Linked DNA regions of Oryctolagus cuniculus. The protein of the gene in region 3 interacts with the protein of the main gene of each other region in a pairwise test. Links are inferred from orthologs where the notes say so. Each region holds a gene or a part of one and is shown on either strand. Other genes may lie near its edges.

Evidence for each region.
Region 1: the proteins of SDCBP (region 3) and carbonyl reductase [NADPH] 3 interact in binary tests that used the Homo sapiens proteins (3 or more experiments, as listed by UniProt). The two-hybrid records come from large-scale screens. The link is inferred for Oryctolagus cuniculus from reciprocal best matches to the Homo sapiens genes SDCBP and CBR3.
Region 2: the proteins of SDCBP (region 3) and FTL interact in binary tests that used the Homo sapiens proteins (3 or more experiments, as listed by UniProt). The two-hybrid records come from large-scale screens. The link is inferred for Oryctolagus cuniculus from reciprocal best matches to the Homo sapiens genes SDCBP and FTL.

Annotation. Positions count from the first base shown.
Region 1 is NC_091435.1:8,710,171-8,715,838, forward strand, and holds the start of carbonyl reductase [NADPH] 3, read right to left. Parts: upstream 3,414-5,668; coding exon 3,125-3,413; intron 2,735-3,124; exon of another isoform or gene 1,384-2,734; coding exon 1,276-1,383; exon of another isoform or gene 1,054-1,275; intron 1-1,053. UniProt on the Homo sapiens protein: Catalyzes the NADPH-dependent reduction of carbonyl compounds to their corresponding alcohols. Has low NADPH-dependent oxidoreductase activity.
Region 2 is NC_091449.1:8,287,292-8,292,124, forward strand, and holds FTL (ferritin light chain), read right to left. Parts: upstream 2,421-4,833; 5' UTR 2,320-2,420; coding exon 2,218-2,319; intron 2,082-2,217; coding exon 1,935-2,081; intron 1,616-1,934; coding exon 1,490-1,615; intron 1,395-1,489; coding exon 1,242-1,394; 3' UTR 1,114-1,241; downstream 1-1,113. Other genes in the region: apoptosis regulator BAX, read right to left, coding at 4,313-4,833.
Region 3 is NC_091437.1:83,784,367-83,789,269, forward strand, and holds the end of SDCBP (syntenin-1), read left to right. Parts: intron 1-1,137; coding exon 1,138-1,229; intron 1,230-2,496; coding exon 2,497-2,551; 3' UTR 2,552-3,589; downstream 3,590-4,903. Other genes in the region: NSMAF (protein FAN), read right to left, coding at 4,732-4,826. UniProt on the Homo sapiens protein: Multifunctional adapter protein involved in diverse array of functions including trafficking of transmembrane proteins, neuro and immunomodulation, exosome biogenesis, and tumorigenesis.

The DNA of each region.
Region 1 (5,668 bases), on a different chromosome or scaffold from region 3:
AGCTTTGAAAAAGAATGAAATTTTACTATTTCTAACAAAGTGCCTGTAAGCAGAGGGTCCCATGTTGAGTGAAGTATGCTAGACACAGAAAGACAAATATTGCAAGTTCTCCCTTATATGTGGGAGCTAACATTTTTTAAAAAATGAAATCCCTTATACCTAAATACAATAGCATGTCTAGTATTTAAAAAAAAGAAAATTATCAGTATGGACAAGATATTTCCTAATAAAGACAAATTCTTTTGCATTTTCTGAATCAGTTTAATGAAGTTTAGCCCAAGAAGGAAGACAGGGAATGTCTTTTTTTTATTTTTTTTTAAGATTATTTATTTATTTAAAGCCAGAGTTTAGAGAGAGAGAGAGAGAGAGATCTTCCATCTGCTTGTTCACTCCCCAGATGGCTGGGCACCAGGTTGAAGCCAGGAGCCAGGAACTTACTCCAGGTCTCCCATGTGGGTGGCAGGGACCCAAACACTTGGGCCATCTTCTATTGCTTTTCCCAGGCTACCAGCAGGGAGCTGGATTGGAAACAGAGCAGCCGAGACATGAACTGTCACCTGCATGGGATGCTGGCATTGTAGTTGGTGGCTTTAACCATCATGACACAATGCCAACCCCAGGGAGTATCTTAATGCTCGGAGAGATACGATCCTGGGACTGGCATTGTGGTGCGGTGAGTTAAGCCGCTGTTTGCAATGCAATGCAGCATCCCATATTGGAGCATGGGTTTGAGCTGTGCTTCTCTGCTTTTGATCCAGCTTCCCGCTAATGCACCCGGGAAGCAGTGGAAGATGACGCAAGTGCTTGGGTTCCTGCCACCCATGTGGGAGACCTGGATGAAGTTCCAGGCTCCTGGTTTTGGTCTTGCTCACCCAGGCTATGTTGGCCATTTGAGAGGTGAACCTGCAGAGAGAAGATTGATTTCTCTCTCTTTCTGTCACTCTGCCTTTCAAATAAACAATTTTTTTTTAAAGAAGTGATACTATCCCCCAGTGGACCAGGTGTGATCAGAGGCAAGGGTCTTTGTGAACTTGAAACATCTTGTCATTCTAGGGCGGAGTTCATGGTAGATTCTAAGAGCTTTGAGATACTGCCCACATGCCTTTGCACCCTGAAGCTAAGATGCTCAAGTGAAGAGTCAGACACTGTAAGAGAAGAAGGACGCTGTCTACTCTCCCGCTACAGAGAACAGGCACCCTGGGTGACTCCTGCAGGCAGCCCTGTCCAGGGAGTCTGAGGCTGACTCCTTCCTGACTCCCTGCTCACGGGGCTTACCATGAGGTTTCATGATCGGCAGCAACTCGGTGCAGACGTTTCTCGTGGCAAAGAAGTTTGTCTTCACTGTCAGCTCCGCTTGGATATCAAAAGGTGTCGGATCATCAGCTTTCAAAAGGAGAAAGAAGCAACGAGACCGTCATACAATTTTCCTGAAAGTCATATGACACAGTGGATCCTATAGGATAGCAATTCAAGGGGACACAGGTAGCAGCGAAGCAACTTTTACATCACCAAGTTGATGGTCCTCAGATCTGGGTGTGTATCAGTCACCTGCAGGGCTTGGTGACGCTCTGCGTTCCCAGTTGATGCAACAGCAGCTGGTCTTCAGCCACACTTAGAGAACTCCTGGCTTTGACCACTGCTCAAACTTGATGGCGCATAGAAGGTAGGAGAGCGCTTCAGCAAGTCCAGGGGCTCAGCAGTTAAGACACTGGGATGATGCTTGCATCCCGAATCAGTTCCTGCTCACGTGGACCCTGGAACCAGGTGATGGCTCAAGACACTGAGCTTCTGCCACCCACGTGGGAGACCTGGACTGAGCCCCCAGCTCTAACTTTGGCCCAGCTCAGCTCCAGCTGTTGCGAGCATTGGGGGGAGACCACTGTTGGACTTTAAATGACTTCTAAAGTTCATGGAAGATGGAATGAAAAATGTTTATCGCAGTGGGAAAACATTGTGAAATGCACGCAAAAGAGGAGGGTCTTCTGAAACTTTGTGGAAAATGCCTATCATGAAAACTGCAAGAATTTCAGTGTTTTGCACCAGAACAAGCTTTTCTTTCCATTTCCCCACGAACGTTTCCAAGTCCTGGTGTACCTGGGGATTCTGTGAAAACGCAAATTTTGTCAGCCCGTTGGGCGCCGGAGATTCTGCACTGCTAACCAATGTCCAGGCTCGCAGGTGCTGCTGGCCCACAGCCCATATTTTGGGGGGCGACAGATCCCAGTTCACCCAGGTCCCTCCTGGAGGGTAATTATCCCCTAGCTGAGGTTGTTTGGGGGGGGGTGTGTGTCAGCTCCGCCCTGTGCCCCGCCCCGCCAAGCCCCTGGAAGCCTGCACGCAGAGTTACAGGTGCTGCGCTGGGAGCCCCGCGCCGCGCTGCGCTGGTGAGTGCCCAGGGCGGCGGACCGAGGCCTCCCCACGCTGGAAGCGAAGTGGTCCCGTTGATTTCTTGTACCGCCAGCACAGGGCTGAGTTCAAGAACTTACTTAACCGAGTACTGCTTACAACCTGTAAGCTCCTTGATTCTTCTTCGCCCCTGAAATAAGCATGTTTGCGACCCAACGGCAGCCGCCCTGGAGAAGGGACCCGAGGCTCTCTTCCCTTCTGCCGGAGCCCAGCGAATCTCGCGGTTGAGCGGGGTTTGAAAGGCACTGGTGTGCACTAGCGCGCTCGTTGCCCGCGCGCGGCAGATGCCTCCCGCCTGCCATGAATGCGCCCTTGTTCCAGCGAAAGCGAAAGCTCCAGGCGGGGCTGGGCCACCCCCTCGCGGAGAAGATTCTCGCAACGGACAGAAAACCTCCACGAGCTGAGCAGGGCGTGGGCCCCTCCCAGGAGGCCGCTTCTCTTGCAAACAACAGCGACTGACAGTTCCGGGAGGGCCCAGGGCGGCGCACAGGCCCACACAGGCCCGCGGGCGGGGCGCGCGGTGTCCCGCGCCAGGGCTCGCCCCGCGCTCTGCGAACCACGGGAAAGCGAAAACCCGCCGGGAGAGGCGGGAGCTGAGCGCATCCCGAGGGGCCTCCCTCCCCGATCTCTCTAACGGGCCGTTGGGGGCGCCTGCTGTTCTCTGCCCCGCACTCTCGAGGCGTCCCAGGGACCCTCGTCCTCCCAGCCCCTCACCTACTCTGGAAGGCGATGGCCGCGTTGTTGACCAGCACGTTGAGGCCCCCGTACTCCCGGCGCAGGAAGTCGCGCAGGGCGCGGATGCTCTGCAGGTCCGTGATGTCCAGCTGGTGGAAGCGCGGGCTCAGGCCCTCGGCCTGCAGCTGCTGCACGGCGGCCCGGCCCCGCGCCTCGTCCCGCGCCGTGAGCACCACGTCCCCCGAGAAGAGCCGGCACAGGTCGCGCGTGATGGCGAAGCCGACGCCCTTGTTGGCGCCGGTCACCAGCGCCACGCGGCTGCAGGACGACATGGCTGGGCGCTCGGGACACCTGTGCAAGAGAGCGGACCCGGCCGCCGATCCCCGATGGCGCGTACTGCGCGGAGAGCCGCGCGGAACTCAGTTCTGGGATCCAGCCGGGCAACTTCTGGAGAGCAAGGCCCCTGGCCTGGGTCCCTCCCCTCCGAGGAGGGGCTGTCCGCTCCCTAAGCTTTCGTAACGCCCCGGCTCCCGGGGCCGCCCCCTCCCAGCGCTGCGCCCTAGTGGATCCCGGCTCCGAGTGCGGCGAGTGCCTGAGAAGCGAGGTTCGCGCCCGGCAAAACCGGACGGGGATGGGTCAGCAGGGGCCGCAATGCACTGCGGGGCGGACTGCAGGAAAAGTCTGGGAGGACCCCGAAGAGGGAGTAACAAAGGCTGAGTCATCTTGGACCTGCGCCCGCTGTCCACCGCGAGGTGCCAGTGTTGGCAATGGAATCACTCAACCGCTCTTTGCTTGTCGAAGGGCAACTCAGCAGAGAGGAGAGCAACGCGATGTCCCGGGAGTGGCTTTTGGTGGCTCTGTGGGTCTCAGCCTGTCCCCATGTGGCAGAGAATGTTGACCGTGTGCCAAACCCGTTATGGGAATCATTTACTTAATCCCAACATAGCTCCTGCGGGTGCCGAAAGGGTCTGCGTTTAGGCTTGTCCAGGGAGGCTACCCATTGGTGCTGAGCGATCTTTACGGATCCACAGCCATGTGGGAGCCACCAACAAGATCCAGCTGACATGAATGTGGTCAGGTGTGGTCAGGTGGTCACCCAGTTAGAACTTCATCCACCGTTTTCAGTGTGCTTGCTCAGTGAGTGTGAGGTCTGGCAGAAAGGCGACCTCATCATGGCTTGGCTTTTCCCAAGTGGAGCCGCCCGGCACTGCCGGAGACTCTGGGGCCCCCAGTTCCCCTGTCGGTAAGACAGCACTGATAATTTGGAGCCTGTTTTAATCCTGTTCAGAATTTCTGTGCCTTAAGTGAGATTACTGTTTTTCAAGAAATTTGTGGATCTCGTCCAAGTTGTGGGTTTTGTTACACAAAGTTATTCATAATATGCCTTTATTATCCTTTTCATATTGATGGTGATTCTACGTCTCTCATTCCTGATGTGGGTAATTGTGTCTTTCATTCCCCCCTACCCAGGGTTATATAGTTTTACAAAATTTTTCTCATGGAATCGTTTTTCTGCCTCATTGACCTTTCATTCCCTCCATTTTGCTGTGGTTATATTGATTTGTGTTCCGATCCTAACTTGACTTCTTTTGGAAGCCTTACTTGCAAAATAGCCATTTGCAGAGCAGGAAAAGGAGTTGATTCAGGAATTGGTACTCTTGAGTGGCTGAATCAGAGACCTATTTGGGGTGTGACCCATTTGGGAGCTGGCCAGCCTCCCCCGAGACCCCCTAGCAGCGTCCATCAGGAAAGAAGAAGCGTGGGACGGCCGGAGCTCCACAGGAAGGACACCAGGCGGCCTGGAGGAAGGCAGGTCTCCCAGGGCGGTGCGGGACTGGGGTGTAATGGAGGCAAAGCACCAAAGACTGGAGTGCAGGGGGGGCCAGAGCTCGCAGGGGCACCGCTGTAGCCCCTTTCTTGTTGCTATGATTGAATACTTGGGGCTATGATTACGAGGATTATTTACCCACAGTTCTCAGGGTCGCCTCGTGCTGCATCATATGGTGGGGTGGTGGTGGGAGGGTAGAAGTGGGGAGGTAGGAGCACAAGAGAGAGACAGGTGTCAGCTCACCTGTAATAACCTGTGCTCGCCACAATTAACCCACCCCCGAGGGATCCACCTCACTCCCTTAGGTAATTAACTAGTTAGTCTCTGATTACCTCTTCCTCCCTTCCTCCCTTCCTCCCTCCCTCCCTTGCTCCCTCCCTCCTTCCCTTCCTTCTTCCCTTCCCTCCCTCCTTCCCTCTCTTTCTTTCTTTCTTTCTTTCTTTCTTTCTTTCTTTCTTTCTTTCTTTCTTTCTTTCTTTCTTTCTTTCTTTCTTTCTTTCTTTCTTTCTTTCTTTCTTTCTTTCTTTCTTTTAAAGGCAGATTTACAGAGAGGCAGAGGCAGAGAGATAGAGGTCTTCCATCCACTGGTTCACTCCCTAATTAGCCACAACGGCCCAAGCTGGGCCAATCTGAAGTCAGGAACCAGGAGCTTCCTCTAGGTCTCCCACGTGGGTGCAGGGGCCCAAGCACTTGGGCCATCTTTGACTGCTTCCCCAGGCCATAGCAGAGAGCTGGATCAGAAGAGAAACAGCCAGGACT
Region 2 (4,833 bases), on a different chromosome or scaffold from region 3:
CCCAAGCTTCGGAGCAAGGGAGGGCCCTCACGTGTGCTGTGCCGTGTCTGCTGCTCTACTTGGTTTGCAGGGGGCAGGAGTGGGATTGGCGTGCATCCAGAGATGAGAAAATACATCTATTTAAGAATCCCAGGTGTGGTCCGATTCAGGCTGGGGCCTCCACCCGCACGGCCTTAGGCCTTGTCCTGCTCCCTCATCTCACCCTGCCTCCCCGGGGACTTCACCGAAGGCCCTTCTGCCTAACCGGTGCTTGATTTGCAAACTTTGGCAGGAGCGGCTGTGACTGGGAGCGAGCGCTGGCGGGCAGCCGTTCCCCCTACCACGACCCAGCCCGGCTGTCCTGCCGCAGGTGGGGGCGCCGTCTCCCGGGTTGGCTGTCCCCTGCGTGGCTCTGTTTCTCCCTTTGATTTCTCATCTTCACTAGGCCGGGTGTGCAGCTCAGAGGCAGCTGCTACTCGGGGACTCAGAGAGCTGGCTGTGTTGGGATGTGTCGTCATCCTTCCCCTTGGCCCGCGTGCGTGTGCGCATGTGTGAGACACACAGAAGCCCCCTTCTCCCTGGGAGCCCTGCCGGGAGGGGCGTGGCGCTGAGCAGGCCTCCAGCTCCCGGTTCACTTCCTCTGCTCCCGCAAAGGGAACAGGGGTCAGAGCTGACCCAGCAGACGCTTCTAGAAACCCGCGTAAGCTGCTTCAGTTCCCCTTTGGAGACTCTGGGCCCGGGTCGCACGTCTGGTTCCTGTGCTGAACCCCAACAGCATCACGCGCCCCTGCTCCTCCTGACCTGTCTTCTCGGTACGTGCCCTGCACCGGAGTTACCCCGGCGCGGGCGCAAGGAGCAGCAGCCTTGGCCGGCCGCTCTGGGCTGCCCGTGGTGAAGGGTCACTCATTGTTTACCTGCCTTTCAGAGCTTGGCCCGCTGCCTGACCCCATCACCGCCCAGGCTGCTGAGGCCGAACAGGGCCTTGCTGCCAGCCCTCCCTGAACCTGGCCCGACCCGCTGGGCAGGGCAGTTAACGGCCAGCCGGCCTGGCGGACCTCTCCCCTGCCAGCCCACTCCGTGGAGCCCTGAAGGTCCGTTCCGCCGCCTCCACCGTAATGCACACCACAACCCCATGCTGCAGCAAGAAACTTTATTTCCGTTTGGTCCCAGGTTTGGGAGAGGGTTCAGGGCTGTGAACAAGCTGCCTGGCGGCTGGCAGGAGAGCGCGGGCAGACGCGCGGCGCCGCTGGCTCCGGGCGCCCCTAGTCGTGCTTGAGCGTGAGCCTCTCGAAGAGATACTCGCCCAGCGAGGCCTGGGGGCCGCTCAGGCGGCGGATGTTGGTCAGGTGGTCGCCCATCTTCTTCAGGAGCTTCACCTCCTCGTCCAGGAAGTGGTTCTCCAGGAAGTCACAGAGCTGACGGAGAGAAGGGGAGATCAGACGGCGCACGGAGGAGGAAGGCTCACAAGGGAAATCAGCCCAATCAAAGGCGCGGTGGCGGGGGCACTTACGTGAGGGTCCGTGTGGGCGGATCCCAAGGCATGAAGGTCCAGGAGCGCCTGGTTCAGGTTCTTCTCCAGGGCCAAGGCGGCTTCCATGGCGTTGAGGGTCTTGCCCCACTCATCCTGGGACGGCTTCTGCACAAAGGACGAGGGGCTCAGCACTGGGCCCAAACTCCACTTTCCCAGCAGCCGTCGGGGGCCGGGGACGCTCAAAAGAGGTGGGCGGGCTTGTACTTACTACCCCCACCCTCCTACAAGAGTCGCCTCAGGAGACCACGCAGCGGCCCGGACCGCGGGGCCCTCAGGGTTCACCTCCTTTTCCAACCTTAACGACTCGCTCACGACTGAACTCAATCTCCCAGAAGGCCGCGCGACACCCAGCCGGCGCTCGGGCTCCGGTCTCGGCGCGCGCAGCCCGCCGGGAGATGTAGTCCGCGGGCCGCACACCAGGTACCTGCACGTCCTGGAAGAGGGCGCGGCCTCCGCGCTGGTTTTGCATCTTCAGGAGCCGCTCGGCGGCCTCGCGCTTCTCCTCCGCCAACTCGCGGAAGAAGTGGCTCACGCCCTCCAGAGCCACATCGTCGCGGTCGAAATAGAAGCCCTGCGGGAAGACGCGAAAGGAAAACCGTTGGCGGGAGGCGTGCGGGCTCCGCCCCCGGCGCCGCCGCGGGACAAAGCGGGCCCGCGCACGCGCAGTTGTGTGCAACTCGGGTCGGGGGCGTCCCGCGGACCCTCACCAGAGAGAGGTAGGTGTAGGAGGCCCGCAGATGCAGATTGACCAGGTGGTTGACGGCAGCCTCCACCTCGGGGGAGTAATTCTGACGGATCTGGGAGGTCATGGTTGGCGGCGGTGAGATGACCACAGAACCGCGGTGGGCTGGTCCCAGGAGCAGGAGGTGGCCGAGAGGTGGTCCCGGAGCTTCTGACTGGAGAGGAGGTCGGAGGGCGGTCGAAGCCTGTGAGAGAGTCCCCGGGCCTGTTCCGTTCAAACACTGTTGAAGCAAGACACAGGTCCGCGGGTCTCCCGACGCGTAGCTTCGGGCGGCTGCTTGGGCGGCGGCTTTTATACTCTGCTGGCCCTCGGGGGCGGGGCTCGGAGGGCGAGGGCTCGGCCAATTGGCGTTTGGGGGAGGCAGGGCCTCCGGGCGGCTTCTGACCAATCAGGCGCAGAAAGGGGGTCTCCGTCCCCACCCTGAGGTGGGGAAGTCACGCGCCTGTTGCGCGAGCCTGTTGTGAAATGGAGAATGGGGGTGGGGGTTCTGTGGCTGGTTCGGGGAAGTCGAGGGCTTCTGAGGGTCTCTCCGGGAGGTGAGAGGTTGGTGGGTGCCCGGGGAGCCCCTGGGGAGTGATGACCCTGTGGTCCTGGGGCTACCTCAGGAAAGCAGGGGTCTGTGGCCGTTTCTGAGAGCATGGAACTTTCTGGAACCCGGGGGGGGGGGGTCGTGCCTCAGAGCGCGGAGAGGACCTGCAGGCTGCCAGGGGTTTGTGCTGTGAGCTGAGGGGTCTCCCCGAGCAGGAGGGCTGTGGAGGGCTGTGGAGGTGGCTGTAAGCGAGCCCTGCGGATCTCTGGGAGGAGGGGGCTCCTGCCCTGAGGCCTGGGGGTTAGGAGGAGGTGGGGACACCATGGGCATCCACATTTAAGTCCTCCCCGGGAGGCCTTTAGGCGCTCCAGGTGGTCATTGATGCTGGGGCGTGTGGAGCCTGGGGTCGAAGTGGCGGGGAGGGGTCCTGGAAGTCTATTGGGGCGCGGGGGGAAGGGACGATTGTAAGAGGGGCCCGGCCCCTTAAGGCGCACAGAAGCCTGGGCTCCTCGGATGCCTTGGAGTCCGTCGGCGCCCAGCGTTCCTGGGAAGTGAGATGGGGAGAGTGAAACCCCCCGGGTGCTGGGGTCTCCCTGGGGTTGCGTTTCCTGGGGGGGCTGTTATGGCGGTAACCCAGAGACTTGGGGTCTCCCGTGGCCCCGGAGCAGTCTCTCTACAGAGGCCCCGTGTCTGGCCTGCCACCTGCTGCTTCTGCGTGTCCAGGAGACGCCTTGGGCGGCCGAGGGACAGAGGTCGGGGACACAGGGGCGGGGTGCCTGTCTCCCCGGAACGTGCATTTTTTTTAAACGCACCAGATGCATGTGGGTCTGGGAGTCAGGGGCTCAAACCAGCGCCCTGACCTCGGGGGAGGAGGAGCCAAGGCAGGACCTGGACCCCACTTAAGTGGCCCCTGGAGGCAGGCCTGGGGAGCCGAGGCCCCAGGCGCGGGGTGCAGGGTCAGGACCTGGGCGCTACAGCTCCTGGCCAAGGCGACCCCCAGGTGCTGGGCCCAAGCAGTATCTGGGGCCCTCGGCCTAGGCGGGTGACCAGGCCGGGATGTGCTGAGTCATGCTGACTCCGCGGGGGGAGGGGAAGGGGCAGTGGCCAGCGTCGGCCTTGGAGCTGCTGACTGCTTAAGACCCTTGGGACCAGACCCAAGGCCGCGCGCTCCCCCAGGGCGGCACCCTGTCTGAAACCGTGTGTGCGTTCTCGCGTGTCTTTGGTTCCCAGTGTTTTCCCTGGGACCCTGCGTGTGACCACGGTCTCGCTGGGCGGGGTGGCCACCCAGGCTCCCCTCAGCCCCCTCCACACTTACTGTCTGCCCAGTTTGCCTGTGGAGTTACTGATTCACCACATTTTCCACTTTAGCCTGAAGACCTTTAGCCTCAGGTAGGCCTGCTGGCGAAGAGAGGACTTTGTTGTTTTATTATTTTATTTGAACGGTAGACAGACCTCTGTCTGCAGGTTCACTCTCCACATGCCTGCAGTAACCAGGGCAGGGCTGGGCAGGGCAGGGAGGGGAGCCAGGAGCTCACCCCACTTCTCCTGTGTAGGTGGCAGGAGCCCGGCTGTCACCTGCTGCCTCCCGGGGTGCACACAGCACGAAGCTGGAATCGGAACTGGAACCCAGGAGCCAGGAGCTCAGAGCCGGCGTGTGGGGCGCCCTGAGAGGTATCTTAGCCACGCGCCAGGCAACGTTCAAGGGGCCCACAAGTGGAAGAGGCTGAGCCAGGACATGGGGAGGCAGAACCAGACAGAGAGGGACAGCGGCCACCCTGGGACTCTCCCAGGTCTCACTCTGCCCCCTTCTGCCCGGACTCCCTGGTGTGCGTCTCAGGTGCGCCGCACGTCCCGAGCCCAGCGCCTGTCCTGCAGGGCCCCTGGGCCAGCCCCTTGCAGGGTCCTTTGCTGTCCGTCTCAGCCCTGGCCCGGGCCGAGGCCCTTCCCTTGGAGCCCTGTGGCTTTGGTAACTTCGCACACGGCCCCAGGGCACTGCCTTGCGCCCCGAATCTCCCTGTTCCCCAGCGCACCCCAGGAAGCTGGGAACTTGGG
Region 3 (4,903 bases):
CCAGGCCATAGCAGAGAGCTGGATCGGAAGAGGAGCAGCCGGGACTAGAACCGGCGCCCACATGGGATGCCTATGCTGCAGGCCAAGGCTTTAACCCACTGTACCACAGTGCCGGCCCCGAAGAACAAAATCTTTATCAACAAAATGGATGCAACTGGAAAGCATTATACTTCGTGAAATAAGCCAGTCCCAGACAGACAGTGTTTCCCCAATCTGTTACAATAGATTACAAAAAATGTATATGACCAAAATTGACATTTTGAGATTTGATTATTTATAGCCCTTGTTTCTACTGTTGAGGAAAAGTGATTTTTTTCTTCTTACTATTAAATTCTTTAAGTACTGGAGGGTTAAGTTTATGATTATAAAATAAAGTATGTCATTGTAAAAATTTTAAAAAAGGAAGAAGGGTGGGAAGTATGACTGTGCTCCTAAATGTGTATATATGAAATACATGAAATTTGTTCACCTTATATAAATTATTTTTAAAAAGGAGTGGTAGACAAAAATGTTTTGTGAAGTCCCTGGAGTGAACTTTGGTGAAGGACATGAGCAGTGATTTTCATGACTTTCTGAATGAATATTTCCCCAGCTGTTTTTCAGTACAGGAATATAGGAAATGAGTAAAAGCTTTGGATCACGTTCATACCTTTTAGTTTTTTCTCCTCCTAAAATCCCTAAATATGAGGGCACTTCAAAATTTTTGTGGGAAAATGGAATTAAAAGTTTTTAAGTCCCTACAGATTGAATAATACACTTGCATGAACATTTTGAATTCCCTTAAGTCTGTCTTAAGGTCAAAATGTTAATTAAGACCTGCCTATGTCATAAAGTTTGGCTGAGTGTACATGGTTAACAGAAAAGATAATTTTCCCCATATACAGTACCACAATATTACCTGAAATAATGAAAATGTGACTTTTTTCTAATATATTCAACTCAGTTTTGTTACTATCTATAAAACTGCTTTCTATAGAATAAAACTTGGTAAGGAAAACTAGAAAAATAACAAATATCTTAGTGTTTTAGACATGCTAGCCTAACATAACAAGAGGTATGGTGTATATTTCTTTACCAAGAATAATTTTTTTTATTAAAGGCTTAGTAAAATTAATTTTCATTATGTGTTTTCATCAGGACTCTCAAATTGCAGACATACTGTCAACATCTGGAACTGTAGTTACCATCACAATCATGCCTGCTTTTATCTTTGAACATATTATTAAACGGTAAGTACACAAGTCTTCAAATACTACATATAGTTGTATGAGTTATGTAAGCATTGCACTTTTCTTTAATTCCCAAAGCTTGGTTTATTGCTAAGGAGTGATACATTTATTTAAAAATTTGAAGAATAAATTATTTACATCCAAGGATTGGCTGGTAAGGATGACTCTTCACAGCTTCCAAGTATGGAATGAAATTCATCCTATTACTTGCCAATTTTATTTTTTTTTTAAATTTATTTGAGAGCTAAAGTTAGAGAGATAGAAAGGTCTTCCATCCACTGGCTCACTCCCTAAATGCCACAATGGCTAAGGCTGAACCGATCCAAAGCCAGGAACCAGGAGCCACTTCCAGGTCTCTCACATGGCTGCAGAGGCCCAATAAGTGCTGCTATCCCAGGCCATAGCAGAGAGATGGACCAGAAGAGGAGCTGCCAGGATACGAACTGGTGCCCATTTGGGATGCCAGTGCTGTAGGCAGAGGCTTAGTCTACTATGTCACAGTGGCAGCCCCTCTAGCTAAATTTTTACATTGCCTAGTAGAAAGAGGGTGTCCAAGCAGAAGTGGACAGAGGTGGGCCTGCTGTCTGCTTTGAACAAATGACTGCACCCTGGAAGTCTAGTGGTGGTGGTTCAGGATGGAGAATTCTTGCCTGTGGGATGTTACAAGTACCGGTTTCTATTCCCTCCCACGCCTCCGAGGACAGGTGAGAGTTGGGTAGTGCAGCCGTCCCTAGGAACTGATTGGAAAAATGTGTGAGAACAGAAAAGGGCTAAGAGTTACTTCTCTAGAGCTTTTCAGATCCTAATTTCTGTCAGTGTTTTTGCCATGCCAGCTTGGAATCCTTTCAGAATCATTAACATGAATGTGGAAGTGAAATTTAAAACACTCATAAATATAACCCTTCTTAGCTACTCTTGGAGCATTTTCTTGAGTTCTTCTCTGCAACCACTGGAAACCGGTCCCTCCTTCCCCATGTGCCTCTGTAGTTAACCACAGCCATGTCATTTTTCTTTCATTAATCACCAACCTAACTATACGAGGACTTTTTACCTTACCTAGTAACTTTTCTAGCCGGGATAAAGAAGGCCTGTTACTACTGACTAGAAGACCAGAGACCCTTATCTCTGAACTCACTTGAATGGCCTTCCCCTTCTCCCTCAGTCTTACTGGATACCCAAAGGGGCTGATTAGATGGCGTTTTCCTGGATTAGCACATTTTCAAAACAAACAGAACCTGAGTGTATGATGAAAATGATTCTCTTGTAGGATGGCGCCAAGCATCATGAAAAGCCTGATGGACCACACCATCCCTGAAGTTTAACAGTTAGCACACAATGGAAACAGCTGAGCGTCTCCAGTTTCCTTTCTCAACTACTCCTGTATTATGCACACGAAGCTTTCCCGGAGCCAGGGAGCATATGCTGCATGAGGACCGTCCCGTCTCAGTTATGGCTGGGAATCTACTGGTTCATCTGGTCTCCTCAGACTTCACGGTAGTTGTAGCCTTAGCCTGGTTTTACAGCTGTGAAACTTTCACAAGATTGACTGACTTTCCTAGAATAGTTTCTCTACTGGAAACCTGATGCTTTTCTAAGCCATTGTGTTGAGGGAGATTGATGCCAGCTTAGCTTTGTATGAGAACCAGTTACCTTTCTTCTAGGTAATGAGTAGTGCTCTTCATGTCATTTTAGTTCTATGGTATATCTGCATTAACATGTACGTGATAGTACATTTAGAGTGATTGCCTTTGGTAGGTTTTTTCTCCCTCTGTATGTATGTAAACACCAATTACGTAATGCTGGTTTCATTCCATGTAAGCATTATACAGTTTATGTAGGTCGCAAGAGATTATGATGATTGTCATTAAATTTTAACTACCTTCACTAATATGCTTCAACTGTCGCCTTAACTATGTTAAGCTCTAGAACAAAAGCCAAAATATAATTATTGCTGCCTTCCTAAAACTCAAAATGTAGTTCTGTATTAAACTGAAATGTGCACTAGCCCAAAAGAGGTTAATAGCATAGCTGCTTGGTTGTATTTGACACTTTCTAGTCATCGCGTAACAAACATCTTTCTTCTCCAAGTTGCCAGTACTGCTTCCTGAGAAACAAAGCGCTCTATATTTAATGTAAAATTTCTTATACTAAACAGGATGAACTTTTGATTCCTCTTTTCATTTGTAGATTAAGTAGAATAATACTTAATTTTGGCATCTGAATGTTAACATTATGTAACCTACCTACTTTGGGATAATAAAATGTTTTCCTGACTCTTCCCTGTAAACAAAGTGACGGTGACACTTTATTTTTTCTGTTTTGGTTTATGCCTATCCTAATTAAATATGTATAAAGGGAAATTTTAGTCTGTTGTTGCATCATTTGGAAGCCACTGACAGAGCTTGCACACAGCCGTACTTGATCTTGAAGACAGGGAAACAGTCATCTCCCAAAGCAGAGACCAGGCCTGAGACTGAAGTGCCTCCAGCTGGGCGCTGCTTCACACGTGTGCATCGCAGCAGGAACTCAAGGAGCCTCTTGATTTCTCTAGTTAGTGTTTTAAGACACTTAAAACTGAGTCTGAGAAATTCTTACTACCATGGTCTGTAGTGTTTCTCCCCCATCCCAACTGCCTGTAAGGTACTATAGTAATTATGTGACAAAAATATGGGTGTATGTATTAAAAATTGAATATAAAAGAACAGTGTTGTTGCTGTACTATGGACCTTGTTTTGAGATTTAGAAAACCAATGTGAAATGCTTTGATTGCTTATCTTGCTATCTAGACTTGAGTTCTTAGTTTTAAAAGTAGTGGAACTGTGTTCCTATGACTGAATACAGTTTTCTTGAAGGATCAATACTTGTTTTCTTAAAAGCTACTAATTAAGAAAATGAAAACTGCTTTCATTACAGAAAAATATTTTTAATGTAGAAAAGATGAGCATTTAATAGTTTAATGAAATACAAACCGTTCCCATACACAGTAACCTTACTGTTATGAGAACTTCTGATCCTTCCCAGGTTCTCAGAATCTGGGTAGAGCATTATACAAAGTAGCCGCTCCGTGAAAACACACATACCTAAAAACCTGGTGGCAGCAGTTGTGGTAGATTAGGAAGACAAAACAGGCTCTCAGAAGCAGCAGCGAATACTGCACATTTCCTTGGAAAGCTCAGTTGTTCACGGCTACCTGGTGCTTGCCCAGCTTAGTAGCTCTGAGCTACTCTGCCATGCAATCCTGTCTCCTAACCATCACAGTGGTATGACCCTCTGCCTTACAAACGAGATGCTTCCCCTAAATACTGCCATCTCATCTGCCTTAGAGGATGGCAGCTAGTGGCTTTCAGTGAGGTCATTGTGATTTACAAAGTTTAAAACCACACAAATTTCCGTGTGGTAAAACTTCTAGTTTCTATCATTGCACATTCACCAGTTCATTTAAAAGTTTGGTTTAAAAATATTTTTAAAGTTCAACTTGAATATGCAAGACAGGAAAAGGCACTTAATACTGCAATTTCCAGAACATAATTTGTCTGTCTTCTCCTCCAGTGATGATACTGCTGCACTGTTCATTCATCCATATACAGGTCACAGCACCTGAGAGAGAAGACGTTTTCGTTAGTCAACTGGGGCACCCAAAGACAGCTCTTACTAGAATTAATGAATGATAGCAA